Tribolium castaneum: one gene and its partner. The protein of the gene in region 2 binds, or shares a complex with, the protein of the main gene of each other region. Links are inferred from orthologs where the notes say so. Each region holds a gene or a part of one and is shown on either strand. Other genes may lie near its edges.

Evidence for each region.
Region 1: Taf3 (region 2) and transcription initiation factor TFIID subunit 8 share a complex: the UniProt entries of both Homo sapiens proteins name them as parts of the TFIID basal transcription factor complex. The link is inferred for Tribolium castaneum from reciprocal best matches to the Homo sapiens genes TAF3 and TAF8.

What each region holds. Positions count from the first base shown.
Region 1 is NC_087396.1:13,178,846-13,185,279, reverse strand, and holds transcription initiation factor TFIID subunit 8, read right to left. Parts: upstream 3,691-6,434; 5' UTR 3,596-3,690; coding exon 3,457-3,595; intron 3,409-3,456; coding exon 3,122-3,408; intron 3,072-3,121; coding exon 2,921-3,071; intron 2,787-2,920; coding exon 2,500-2,786; 3' UTR 2,472-2,499; downstream 1-2,471. Other genes in the region: angiotensin-converting enzyme, read left to right, coding at 1,330-1,783, 1,839-2,122, 2,171-2,471; tou (bromodomain adjacent to zinc finger domain protein 2B), read right to left, coding at 4,487-4,643, 4,698-5,006, 5,056-5,328. UniProt on the Homo sapiens protein: The TFIID basal transcription factor complex plays a major role in the initiation of RNA polymerase II (Pol II)-dependent transcription.
Region 2 is NC_087403.1:4,011,363-4,018,809, forward strand, and holds the start of Taf3 (transcription initiation factor TFIID subunit 3), read left to right. Parts: upstream 1-2,773; 5' UTR 2,774-2,977; coding exon 2,978-3,143; intron 3,144-3,189; coding exon 3,190-3,432; intron 3,433-4,173; coding exon 4,174-4,297; intron 4,298-4,336; coding exon 4,337-5,216; intron 5,217-5,265; coding exon 5,266-5,443; intron 5,444-5,540; coding exon 5,541-6,030; intron 6,031-6,076; coding exon 6,077-6,237; intron 6,238-6,523; coding exon 6,524-6,681; intron 6,682-6,940; coding exon of another isoform or gene 6,941-7,074; intron 7,075-7,282; coding exon 7,283-7,383; intron 7,384-7,433; coding exon 7,434-7,447. Other genes in the region: SLIT-ROBO Rho GTPase-activating protein 1, read right to left, coding at 2,249-2,324. UniProt on the Homo sapiens protein: The TFIID basal transcription factor complex plays a major role in the initiation of RNA polymerase II (Pol II)-dependent transcription.

The DNA of each region.
Region 1 (6,434 bases), on a different chromosome or scaffold from region 2:
CAGAGCTTCCTAAGCTGATGGCAAAATTTAACTTTTTAAATATGTCTTAATAATAATAGTAATAATAAATAATAATAATAATACAGGATAGCCCACCAAAAACGACAGGTTATCTGGTATTTATACTAATATATTAAAAAAATACTCGGACAGGTTAATTTCTATTTTAAGAGGACATCTTTTAACGTCAAATAGCGAATTTTAACTTCAAAAAAGGGGGTAGATTTGATAAAAAAAATGGTGGTGCCGTATAGTTTTGCTTTTTTAAACACCTTCGAAAACAAGGTCAAAATGCTTAAAAAGTGTTGTGTGTTGAAGGGACTAATACAGGCTGTCTCAAAATTGACGCCTGTGCTTTGGGAATTTGATTCAGGGAGCTAACACAAATGAAAGTTAAGAGTAAAAAATTTTCCAATTGTCCTTCGTTATCGAGTTATTGATAAAAATGTAAATAATAATAAGGTTTATGCTGTCTTTCCAATTATTTGTGCAACATAATTCATTAGTTTATGTTAACGATGTTAAAATTCTTTGAATCGCTCTGTCTAGTGACAAGTATTATTAATTTTCTTCGGTTTTGTGTGTTTAAAACATGGAGGTAAGATAAAGAAGACACAGCATCACATCACTTATACTGCAGCGTGTTAATCGATTAACGATTGGCGAGGGGTACGCGGGGGGGCAGTGTTTACCTCCATTGTAAGCGATATTAACAAGGCAGTGGCACATATTTAAATAGCAGTCAGGGGTTCATAGGCTGTATTAGGGGAAAACATTGTAAAGACGCTCTTTAACAAAGATCGATAATGGTAACAAAATAAACAATTACCTAACAAACTGTAGATTATGCCACTTTTGAAAAAAACGATTCATTTGTCTAATTGAACATCCCTTTAGAAAATTAATTGTCACGCCACTGACCACAGGTGGAATGTTAGATTCACACATATGCCATATTGGCCGCCATGACTGATCCAGCTAGGTCAAATTTGAGCTCAATTAAAATGCTAAGTTACCTGTTTTTGCATTTTTCATATTTTTTTAAATAAAAGAATTACGAATTTTATGCGTTACTTTAATCTCACTCTGTATATCAATTATATATGGCAGTAATATACCAACAAGTAAACAAAAGGATACAATACTACTGCATTACAACATTCGAGATTTTTCGATATGTTAAAAGCTCGGTTATAAATTAGGTGTGTGCACATGCGGAAAAAATTCCAAATCGCATATTAAAGCACGGGCGTCAATTTTGAGACAGCCTGTATTGGAATGTAGTATTAGCGGGTGTTTGAAAGTTTTAATTAACAAAACCGTTTTCAGAATGTTTCAGATGGCCGAAGAGTTCTACACATCTCTCGGCCTCAAGCCCATGCCCCCTGAATTTTGGCGTTTCTCAATGTTCGAAAAACCAAACGACCGCAAAGTACAATGCACGGCAAGTGCGTGGGACTTTTGTAACCAAATTGATTACAGAATAAAACAATGTACTGAAGTAAACATGGACGATCTAATTTCAACACACCACGAAATGGCCCACATTCAGTACTACCTGCACTACAGCGAACAGCCCTATCTGTACCGAGACGGGGCCAACCCTGGCTTCCACGAAGGAGTCTCGAACGCAATCTCTCTATCAGTCTTCAACCCGGTGCACTTGCACCGAGTCGGCTTATTCAACGAAAACACCGACAGTTACGAAACCAACATCAACTTTTTGATGCTGATGGCTTTGAAAAAAGTCGCGTTTGCCCCGTTTGCGTATTTAGTGGACGCAGTAAGTGCCAATTTTCCCTTTCACAGTTAAATAATTAAAAAAATAATTGTTCCAGTGGCGTTATGAAATTTTTCAAAACGGGGTGCAAAACATGAACGCAGTTTGGTGGGAATTGCGCCTGCGCTACCAGGGATTAATCCCCCCAATCCCTCGCACTGAAAACCACTTCGACGCCGCTGCAAAACGCCACATTCCCGCCGATATTCCGTACATGAAATATTACGTCGCGCTTTTGCTCGAATTCCAAATTCACAGCTCGATGTGTTTTGCTTCAGGGCATGTGGGGCCGTTGCATAATTGCGATATTTACCGGTCGAGGGAAGCCGGACGCGTTTTATCGTAATGACTGTTCAATACTTGTAATAAAAATTAATTAGATATTTTTAGGGACTTGCTAAAAGTCGGGAAGGCCAGACATTGGAAAGAAGTGATAAAAATGTTAACTAGAGGACAGTCGGATCGCCTGTCTGCTGAAGCAATGCTTCAGTACTTCCAGCCCTTGATGTTGTGGCTCAAAGTACAAAATCGGAATGAAAGTGTGGTCGGATGGATGACAAGTTTGGAAGAGGAGGCTTTGTTCCAGCCATTCTTGTTTGCAACAAGCAACAAAATTGTGTTTGATTCAAATCTTGTTATATTCATTTCTATAACTCCGATTCTTATAAATAACTACATGTTGTATAAATAAAAAATTTAAACTTATAATTTAGTCTTACTTATGACACCTCCATTTCGTCCTTTTTAGGCAGCTTCGTTGCGGCCAAATACGGATTATCAATGTACCCATTTGGGTTTGTGTTTTCTTCACTTTTTGTGGAATCATTTAGTGTTTCTTCAGTCTCTTCTTCTTCTTTATTTTCAGCTTTTTCTTTCGCTTTTTGTTCTTTTGATTGTTGCATCATTTGACTTTTGTGGTCATATTCGAGGTCTTCAGGATCAAAAATTTGATCCTGGGGCAGGAGAGCGCTCAAGTAAGGGGGGTACGCAGGCTTACAAGCTATCACTAAAATATTTCAATTGCTATAGTGGGTATAAAACAAAAACGTAGTCAAGAGTGCTCTGCAACCAATTTTTTCCAGAGCACTATTGACCACCACTCACGAAATAAAAATTCCAAATAAAAAACGGACCACTTACGTGGAAAAATATTCGCCTCATCTGTGTCAAACAAATTATGTGTGGGGTTAGTCTTGGCAAGAAACTTCGTTAACGCCTTTTCTATGTCTTTTTTCTGAACTGCCGCTTTTTCTCTCACTGATTCGTAATCAATAATTGGTTGTTTGTGTGTCTGTAATAGAACAATAAAATATTTGACGCGCCCCAACAGCACAAACCTACAGGAGTGCGAACGTAGGCGTGGGGGTCCGGAAACTGGGGTAAATGCTGAGGGATGTAAGGGGGTAAAGGGTGCTTCGAGCCAGCTGGTAACATATTTAGCTGCTTCTGGGGCTGCTGTGGTTGTAGTGGGGGTAAAACCGAATGCTTCATGCCTTTTGTGTACACCATCAAGTCGTTGAAATTGTGCCCCATTTCCACAAATGCTAAAATCACGTCGGCCACCACGGGCTCCGAACGGCCCGACAACTCGCAGTAGCTTTTCGAAAGTGCCCCCACTTCGGTTAGGACTGCAAGAAAGTGTGCTTATTTCGCGAAAAAAGGGTTGAGGGGCTTACAGCACTGGATCATTTCTGTTAAAGTACCGAGGCTTTCTTTGTCGGCCGTATCGAAACCAGACTCCATTAGAATGCTGCAGACTGACGCTGCTAACATTTTTCGGTAAACGTTTACTTGCTGGGTGGTGGTTTGTTCCATTTTTTAAAGTTTAAAGCAAAGTTTGTTGTTATTTACGTTCCGAAAAGTTAAGGTTATAATAACGTTTGACAAATGACAAGCTTGTGTTTCTGACCGAATCACCAAAGAGCCGAAATTTAAACATCCATACGCGGGAATTCCAAAAATTTCCAACGTGTGGTTGGAAAACAGGGTAGTAGCGGTTGGAGAGAAATGAAAAAAGGCGACATTTATAAGTAAATATAATTAATATAAATATCTTACATTAAAATACATAACCTAGTTCTATGAGTTGCAGTTTAGCGCTGCAGAGAACTAGCCTACCAAACACATTATTTATTAATACATCCTTTCCTTTGAGAACTATGTTCAGCTTACATAAAAACATTTTGTAATAGGCTAGAGAGACATTTAATTTAATGTTGAGCGATGCAATTATGTGAAGAAATTTCTTTACATTTTATACAAACTCTTACTCTAATTTATTCACTGTAACTGAACCAGACTTCAAGTCGGGAAACTGAAATTGAGTTAGAAAAATAAATAAATAGAAACCACTGAACATTTAATGAACAAAATAGTTATCCTAAATAAATAATTAAATAAAAAAATACACAATTATCAAAAATACAAATTAATACAAATTGAGAAACCAACTAAAAATCACATTCTTGTTTAAGTCAATTCATTAAGTGATGCGCAAATCCAAGACTTTAATTGCATTCAAATAATTACAATTTCCGAACGATAAAAAGCTGAAGTATACATTTTTAAAGTCAATATCACACACTGGAAATACCTGTACTGTTTTTCTGAAAAAATTAGTTTGTATTCACACCTCATCGCAATTTAAACACTGTTTTCCGGGGGCCGCATTCTTCGATGGTAAGGTCTTTTGGGATAAAGTAGTCCTCAACTATTTGAAATACTCAGCTCGTTCCACCGAGCTTCGAAAAACTGGCGCATGCAGTGGCCTGCCTTTCCCACAGGACTGTCGTCCTCGTTGAACACTTCGCAGTTGTTGAAAATCTGTCTCACGTCCAGAACGAACTCCTCTTTGGATTTATAACTAGAAAAACGCCCAAATAACTCACACCATCAATTTTCAAGTCAAAACACCAACCTCACATCGTACAGTTTCTTCTTGATCGTCGACAAATCCATCGGCGTTTTGATGATTTTTTTGTAAGTGGGAAACTGCTTCGTATTCACCGGAAGCAAAAAGGGCCACGCGTCATCATGGCACTCCAAATCCTCCAGAATCGTCTTGCACGGCGCGAGTTCTTTGAGTAGTTTCTTCGAGATGCGGTCCTTCTTGCACGTTTGCGTGGACGGAGAGCCTGCGTTGCCGAGACTCGAGTTAGAGACGTCGCTTTGGTTGCAATTCGTTGCTTCTTCGTTCGTCGTAACGGAACTATGAGACGGTGCGGGACTGGAGACGCGACATGTTAATAAATAAAAAACGAAAAATTGAGAGGTACCTAGAAGGAGGATGGTCGGACAGTTCGCTATCTTTGCTAGACTTTGCGTGGTTTTTACGCATCGTCTTCTTCTGAGGCTTTTTCGATATGCATTTGGAACAGTACCATTTGCCGCGAGGAACTTTGTGCATGATGGGGTGAATGCAGTCGGTGTGGTAGGCGCGAGGACACAGTTCGCATAAAATCAGCCGAGTGCCAGACGTCGACGATTTCTTGCCGCAAACGATGCAATTGCGCTCGCCTGTCGCCTTGTTCATGCATTCGTGGCAATACCTACACAAATTAATTTTTCGTTCATTTACTTATTAAAAAAATATGCCTCTTCTAGTACCTACTCTATAATCGACTAGCAAATAGTCTCTTCAATAAAAATGGCCTTGTATATTTCGAATGTATGTGTGCGTGTCTTTTATAATCGCGAAGATTTCGGTAAAGTGTTAACATTTACGTTACACTTAAATAATGAGCTCAAAATATATGTAGACCTCAAAAATTCACCCCCCTGTATACGTGTATTAACTCTATCCAAAAAAGTTCAAAGGAACGCACCAAAAATCAATACATTAGGAAAACTTCGTTATTTATTTGCAGCAGTTAATTACATGAATGGATTATTTTTTGTTACAGACGAGTTATGACGTTATGAGCATTCTTATCAATTACTGATGTGCCGTTTGATTTCATTCAGTTTGTCACTTGCTGTAGTCGTGAACACACACCTCATAAACTTATTAAATAAAATAAAAGTTAGAGTTTTGCTGGTTACGATTTTCAAAATATAGAACTATCATCAGTGATCAGTGCGTGTTATGAATTTTCGCCGTTCAGTAGTGCGCGAGTGTTTACTGTTTAGTGTGTGCCAGTGGAATATATTTCTGGAGAAAAATTGTGTTTGGAGGATCAGGATTAAAATGTTAGTCGGCAATAGTTTTCTTTAGAATAATTTCTAGTCAGTATTTTGACAGAGGTTGAGCATGATTTCAAATCTTTGCTGTAGCGTATTTAACTGTGAATATTCTTCGAAAAATGAAGATGATACATAAAACGATTTTCATTTTAGAATTGAGCGCACAAAATGCGTTTTATCAACTTTAAAACGGTTCAAATTAGTGAAAGAAAGCATGGGAGAGACTGAATGAAACAGAATTTGAGTGATCTTTTATCAATTAAATGTACACTTTTAGGCAAATAAAACTATAGTCGAATAGAAATACCATGAAATAAAACTGAAACGAAAATTTTCTCGGGTAAAGTCCACATCCTGAACGAAAATGAAAATTAACAATTGGGAGTGATTTTTATGAAAAATAAATAACTTTAAAAATTATTAAAAATTATAGCGCTGCAACACTTATGTGAGTTTATTAAAATTACTTAAA
Region 2 (7,447 bases):
CACGAAATATCAATGGTGTTGTGAAGGACACAAAACAAAAATATAAATATTAGCAGAGTTGCGACAATAATGACGGAATTTTTGCTTCATTTTTCAACCTCAAATTTTCAACGTTAAGTAAATTTACCGAAGCAGCGAACTGTCGCAATTTTACTCACAATTATTTATTTCACAACAAAGACAATATTTATACAACGGTGTGGCAAACAAATTTTACTGTTTTTAAATTATTTTCATCGCTTGATCGTGGGCTAAGTTTATTAATGACAATTGGTAATTGTAGTCATGGTCAACTTACTTGTACGTTTCGCTGAATCTTTTCAATGACACGCAAAAATTATTCGAAAAACCTAGCAGGTGCAAGACCGTTTCAAAGTGCATTTTACAGTGGAACTCGGTCACAACGAACCCGGCTTTTAACGAACAAAGTAAATATTAAAAAACTATACTTTGTATAGTTTGTACTTTGTAACGTAGTTACAATAAATAATCGTATTTCTAATCCTACTATTACAAATGTAGGTGTGCCACACGGGTCTATTTTAGGACCAATTCTTTTCATATTATTAATAGTTTACCTTCATCTGTAACAATTTTATAATCAGAAATTTAAAACCTGATTTTTTAGATAGACAATTTAATAATCTTTAAGGAGCAATAGCAAAAAATAGGGTGTTCCATTAACTTTTTCAAGTTATTCAATTTTTAACAAACTTATTAATTTCTCTACTTTTTTAATTGCAATGCGCAAGACAATTAGTACAAATATAAGTTTAAACTTTTCCCTTTAAAGTGGTGAAATTCCTACTCGTCTGAGATTCTTAGTTTTTATGTAATATTTTTTTCAAAAAGCGTGTTTTCGTCAAAAAATCAAACTATTTCAAAATCGACTATAACAATCTAGCTTAAAAACATCAGTTAAAAAAATATAGGTTGTTTTAATTTCACGGCGTTTCGTAATAAAAAGATTAATTTTCTAACGATGAAAGGTCAAAGGACTTTTTCACATCGGTAGGACACCCTGTACGTGCCCTATTATCAAAGTAGGTATACCTACGTAATTATGTAATATTTTTTAATAAAATAGATGATATTTTATTTCCGGTAACTTTAAAACGTTAAAACTCATTTAACGTAAAAGTTAAGACGACGTTCCACTGTATTAAATAAATATTTCCACTGCGCTTAAAGGACATCGATTTTTAATGGATTTGGCTAAATCTGCACCCGCTGATTTGGGTTTCAATTCGGTCTCCCCTTTGCAAATAATTAAAAAATAATTAAAAAAATCTCGTTACTCTAATCCTCCCTTCAATCAAGCCCACCCCACTGTATGTTAAATTTTTAGTTTGGTGGTGCAGACGCACCAAAGCGGCGCCGTTCTTTTCTGACGGACACGAGACGAAGTCGTTTGTATGATGCGATTATTACGCTATTTGCCTCAAAAGTCACGTCTGAGCTTAATTCGGACACAAATCAACCAATCAGTCTGCGCCGTCATGGCGCTACATTTGACCTAAAGGACGTTATTATTACCGGTTATAACCGTCATAAAATATACAACATTGAACCCGATTATTAAAATATCACACATGAAGCAGGCGAGATGGGACGCTCACATTTATAATACTATAAATTTTTTATGGCTTTTTCGCCGCTGTCGATTATTTTCGACTGGATGCCTGACAGTTCGGGGCTATTTAACACCTTTGTTAATTCGCTTATCTTGCTAACTGTTGTTTACAAGTTCAAGTTCAGGCTGAATTTACGACATCTTGCATAATTTTCGCTTGTGACATTAACTTTGATAATTAGTTGGATTTTCTTGTCTTTTACCGCCTCAGGTATAACTTGATAAGAATCCAGAGTGGCCTTGGGCGGAATTCGGAAATCGAAAATACGCCTGTTTTGCAAAACTATTAATAAATATTATTGATTTAATAGTAATATCCTGTTTATAGAGAATTATTGTTTACGCCAGGAATCAGGATTCTGCTAAAGTGGCTTAATTACATTGTTAATTAAAATTCGATTGTTTTATTTGGATTGATTTAATGATAAAAAATATGATATTTATTGACGCAAACCGGAGACTGAATAGTAACGGCTGCAGGTAAAAGGTTATTGTTGCAATACCGTGACCTTGGGTAACGACTTTTACAGAAATTTAAATATTACAAAAATAAGTAACTCCGTTCCACCTTTAGACGCGTTAAATATTCGGTGATAACTAGACAGGTGTACTCACTGTTAAAAACCAAAAGTTTTCTCGTGGATCCCAGCCGTTTGATTGGTGATTTCAATTCTTGCTCATTTTCATCCATCCTTACAAAATAAGTAGCCGGTATATAAGAAACAAACTGGCGAATTCTAAAACCGTCTTCACACAAAAATAACTACTTTCACGTCCAAACGCAAGTTATGTTTTGTTGCTAACTCGGAAAAACATTTAATGAGAAGTGGTCATTTGAGACAATGTTGCCATTTCAAATCGGTGTGCACTAATTCGAATACGTTAATTCGTTACTGAGTGTTGTTGCGAACGCTACCACGAACAAAACGATTTGTACACTGTCTATTTGAACATAACATGCTACTCTCTACTCAAAATAGAATGCCGCTGTCGCTTGTAAACACACCAGCGACCAGCGCCATCTTTGGACCCGCCTCTACACTGCCCACTTGTAATGCCCAAACCGCCCACAAACATGGACGCCAGCGGTTAAGCGGTTAGTACCGTTTGCAACCCACTGTGCGCAACCAAATAAAAAATTATCGGTTCGGTTGGGTTAACAGATCGTCTCTCCTGCGTATTTATCGCTATTCTGAATATAGTTTGGCGTTTTTAAGCATTAAAAGCATGTCTGATGTCTGCCGTCTGTCAAGGTCACGGGTGTTGATACAAAATGGAAGTTTATTTGTATTAGGTGTTGGTGCACCCTTTTATAGAGCTTGTGTAGTCAAATAAATCGGCAAAATGTCTCGTAATTACACACGAGACCACCTTAAGATATCTGTAGCGAAAATTTTACAAACGCTAGGATGGAACTCGATAAATTCAACACCGTTGGAGATTTTAACCGACATTTTAGGGAATTACATGGGCCAGATTACCAGGAACACAAACAGCTACGCAAACGAATGTACGCAATTTGGAACTTAGGGGCAATGCTAATGTGTGGATTTCAGTTGGGTGCACCCAACCGAACTTGGACCACTTGGGTCTGACCTTTAGGGACATGGGGATCAGCGTCCCGGAGCTGGAGGAGTACGTGAGATATGTTAATTTTGCTGCGGCGCCAAGCGCTGTCCCCAAGTACCCCATACCCAAGGAAGACCATTTGAATTTTCTAAAACCAGGCAGCAAGGAGGTGGTCACCAGACCGGTCCACATACATGAACACCTACCCCCCATGAACCCACTTTTAGAAGGTATAACGCTTTTTTAATATTTGTACCTTAAATAATACATTTGCCATCGGAAATGTCTACAATTTAAGCTATTATACCAAAAAGATCATACCAGTCTACAAGAAAATGAGTGCTATAGACCAATAGATATTCAAATCACATTCACATTTTCTTTATTTTGAATAGCGTAGTTACAATAAATAATCGTATTTCTAGTCCTACCATTACAAATAAAGGTGTGCCACAGGGGTCTATTTTAGGGCCAATTCTTTTTTTATTATTATTTAGTATTATCAGAAATTTAAAACTTGTTTTTTTAGATAGACTATTTAATAATCTTTCAGAAGCAACAGCAAAAAATAGGGCGTTCCATTAACTTTTTCAAGTTATTCAACTTTTAACAAACTTATTAATTTCTCTACTTTTCTAATTGCAGTGCGCAAAACAATTGGTACAAATAAACATATAAACTTTTTCCTTTAAAGTGGTGAAATTCCTACTTCGCGTGTTTTTGTCAAAAAAATCAAATTATTTCAGCAAAATCGACCAGTACAAGTTTAGAACAAAATCATCAGTATTAAAAGCTACGTCCAAAAATGCAATAAAATTTAGGGTGTGCCATTTGAAAAAACATAACTTTAGTGTTTTTTTAATATTGGGACACCTGCATATACACCGGAATTTTTTTTTAAATGCAGCCATTTTAAAAAACAGTTAACGTCTCTAATAGTGAACAATTAATAATTATTATTATTATTATAGGTAATAGAAATGAATTAGAAGCGATCAATTGTAAAGTTGAGGAACTGGAAGACACCAACCCTGAAAATTCCCAAGTTTTTAAAAAACCGGCCGACATATCACCTTCAGAGTTCAAACGGCCTAGGTATTATCTATTTCCAAATTCACAATAAGGCTGTCTTAGTTTCCGCAGAGAAGAAGAAGGCAGTCGGCCGACAAGAGAAATAAGCAGTGTGATGATGACAACTTCTGGGTTTCTATCCCCAGCGCGAGAAGGCAAATTACCTGAATCCAGAACCCCAATTTCGTCCATAGACCCAATGGGTCCCGTAAACCCACCCCAGGAAACCATCGATCTGAATAAAAAACCGACGAAAGTCGTCAAAAAAGTTGAGAAAAAGAAATTCAAGCAGGAAGGAAACACGGACCCGGCTCTAGCGGGCAAAAACAGAATCAACTCAATGAAGTGTATACTGAAATCGAAGCAACAACAGAAAGCGCCCAACAAGGTCCTCAACCCCCTGGCACACGACATCTCCCAGCTGCAGAACAAAGCAAACCAAGCCGCTAAGATCAGCAAAACCTTGGCTGCAGCCCGGCTTAAAACGGAGAAACTCAACACTACGATCACCCCCATTCCCATGCGGCCCAACAGCCCCCAAGTCTTCCCACCTGAGCACGACAACGTCGACAAACTCTTCACGGAGCCCGACAAGAAAAAAGTCAACATATTTAAGAAAATATCAAACGTGAAGAACGAAAAAACCGACGTTAAAATAAAAAAAGACGATATTAAACAAGAATCGAGGGAAAGCTCCCCCGACTTGATAATCGACGAACCGGACGAAGTCCTCCCCAAATTCACCCACTTATCAAGCGACGTGACCATCGAACCCATCAATTCCTCGGCCCAGAAAAGCCCAGAAAAGATGGACACGCCCTACTTTGACGATGACTCCCAACCGGGGACTCCCTCAACCCCCAAAACCCCCGAAATGATCTCACACAGCCCGCCAATAGTCAAGGAAAAACGCAAGCGGAAAGACAGCAAGAAGATAAAGAGAGTAACGGAGCTTCGCAACAATTTGTATTCCCACTAAGGTTGTTTTTCAGATTCAGAAAAACCAAAGTCCGCATCGGCTAGACAACGATACGATGGACATGGACATGGAGCGGCCCAAAACACCGGAAGCCCAAGTGTTACCCAAAATGGAGTTTCCGCCAACTGTGCCCGTTCCCATCCCCAACCACGCGCCCCTGGCCCCCATCCCCTTCCCCTTCAACTTTGGAGGTAAATTCGCGTGTTACGATTCTATGATATTTTTTTTTTCGTTTCCGAAAATAGTGAACGGTTTTTTCTTTATCCTAGTTTTGCTTTTCAATTCTAGGTCCGGGATTGATACCAACGCCTTTGGCGAACCCACTGATCCCCCCACTGCCGTTTCCGCCCATGAATTTGTACAATTTTGGGCAAAAACCACATTTGTCTTCATTCCACCAGAAAATCGAACCGCCGCCGCCGTCAGATGTTCACGTGGTGGAAGATTCCCCATCTCCCCCTGGCAAACTAGGGGAGAAACCGCTTTCTAACGACACTTCTGATCCCGGCTCACCATCGTCAAAGTTGGAAAAGAAGAACAAGGAACACAAAAAGGAAAAGAAAGACAAGATCAAGAAACGCAACAAGAAGGATAAAATCAAAAACAAGGCCGAAAAGAAGAAGTTGAAGGAGGAGAAGAAGGAGAAAATCAAAAAAGAGAAGAAGGAGAAACGCAATAAGGAGAAGGAGCTGAAAGAGGGCGACTCTCCAGGTGTGAAAATCACGCTCAAGCTGAAATCGCCGTCGCCAAGTCCGGAGCCGTCGGAGACCCGGAAATTGTAAGTTGTGGGAATGAAAATCAGTAAAGTTTCTATTTTGTGTTAGGAACATTAAGCCGATTGTGAAGAAGGAGGAAGAGGATGTGGTTACGAGTAGCGAGGATAGGGTGAAACGGGAGACGTCGCCCGGTTTGGCCAAAATCTCGGCTTTGGTGTGCGGACCACCTAAACCTAAGCCTGTAAACCCGCCAAAGACCGTGCAGCCAGGCAAGTTTGTGTTGAGATTAGCACACTCGTTGTTTTCCTTTGTTTTGTTATTATTATTTGAGTGCCAAATTCGGACTAACGGCTTAGTTTTGGTCATTTTGTTATTTGTATGCGTGTGCGTTGTGCCACCTTTGAAGTGTTTAGTTTTTTGATTTTGAAACACTAAGTTTGGCTTGCATCAGTTAAACAGTGTACCACTCAGCATGTGATTAGTTTTGTTATTGTTTTGTTTAGTTTATTTTAACTTACTGATGAGGTCTCTCCTTACTATTTTTTTGCTCTGCAGCTTTCAATGACAGTTATCCTAGTTCCTCTTCTGATAATTTCGTAAACCAAACGAAGAAAACCATGCTAAAACCCATTCCTAAAATACGAACAAAAGAAATTAGGAGAGAGATTGTTGATGTTCCAATAGTACCACCAGCTCCTCCTTCCAGATACATTGTAAGTACTATGCGGAACGAAGAAGAGCTCAGGCGTTCGAAAATCAAATCTGACCTAGGAATCATCTTCATTCTCCTCCCCGTCTCCTCTCATTGTCATTTATTTTATCATGCATTGTCTTTGCTTATTTCATTTGCTTCATAGTGTCATGCTTGTGGTGGGGGGGTTGTGTAGATCTGCATGGGTTTGCGTTATCTCGTTTGAGTGTGCTACCGTTGTACATATTGTTAAAAGTCGTTAAGTTGTGAGTTTTGAACAGCTGAAGAGACAGCACAGGAAGAAATGCCAAACACACCAGCGGCTAGAACTGGTCCTGGACCAGGTAGGCCCAGAATCCATCCCATCAAACCAAAACCTTCTAAGCCTAAAAAACGCCGAACACCCGTCAAGAAAGTAAGTTCAGTGTGTGTCAGACAATATGCGGACCTGTTCTGGCTTATGAGTGCCCACGATTTTATTCATCATTCACCAACATGGTCAGATTTGAGCGCTTGTTTCGCTGCTTTGTGTGAATGTCTGTGCGCTTTCCATGATTTCAATTCACCACTTGCTGGTGAATCGGGGTCGGTTTTTACGTTTCACTTGAAATAATCTCTTCAAGGACGCCGACGGGAACGAGGTGTGGATTTGCCCCGGATGTGGGAGCCAGGATGACGGCAGTCCGATGATTGGCTGCGACGGATGCGACGCCTGGTACCATTGGTAATAAATAAATAACTTAGTTTCAGCCGAAATTAATGAATCGCCGGTAGGGTTTGTGTGGGGA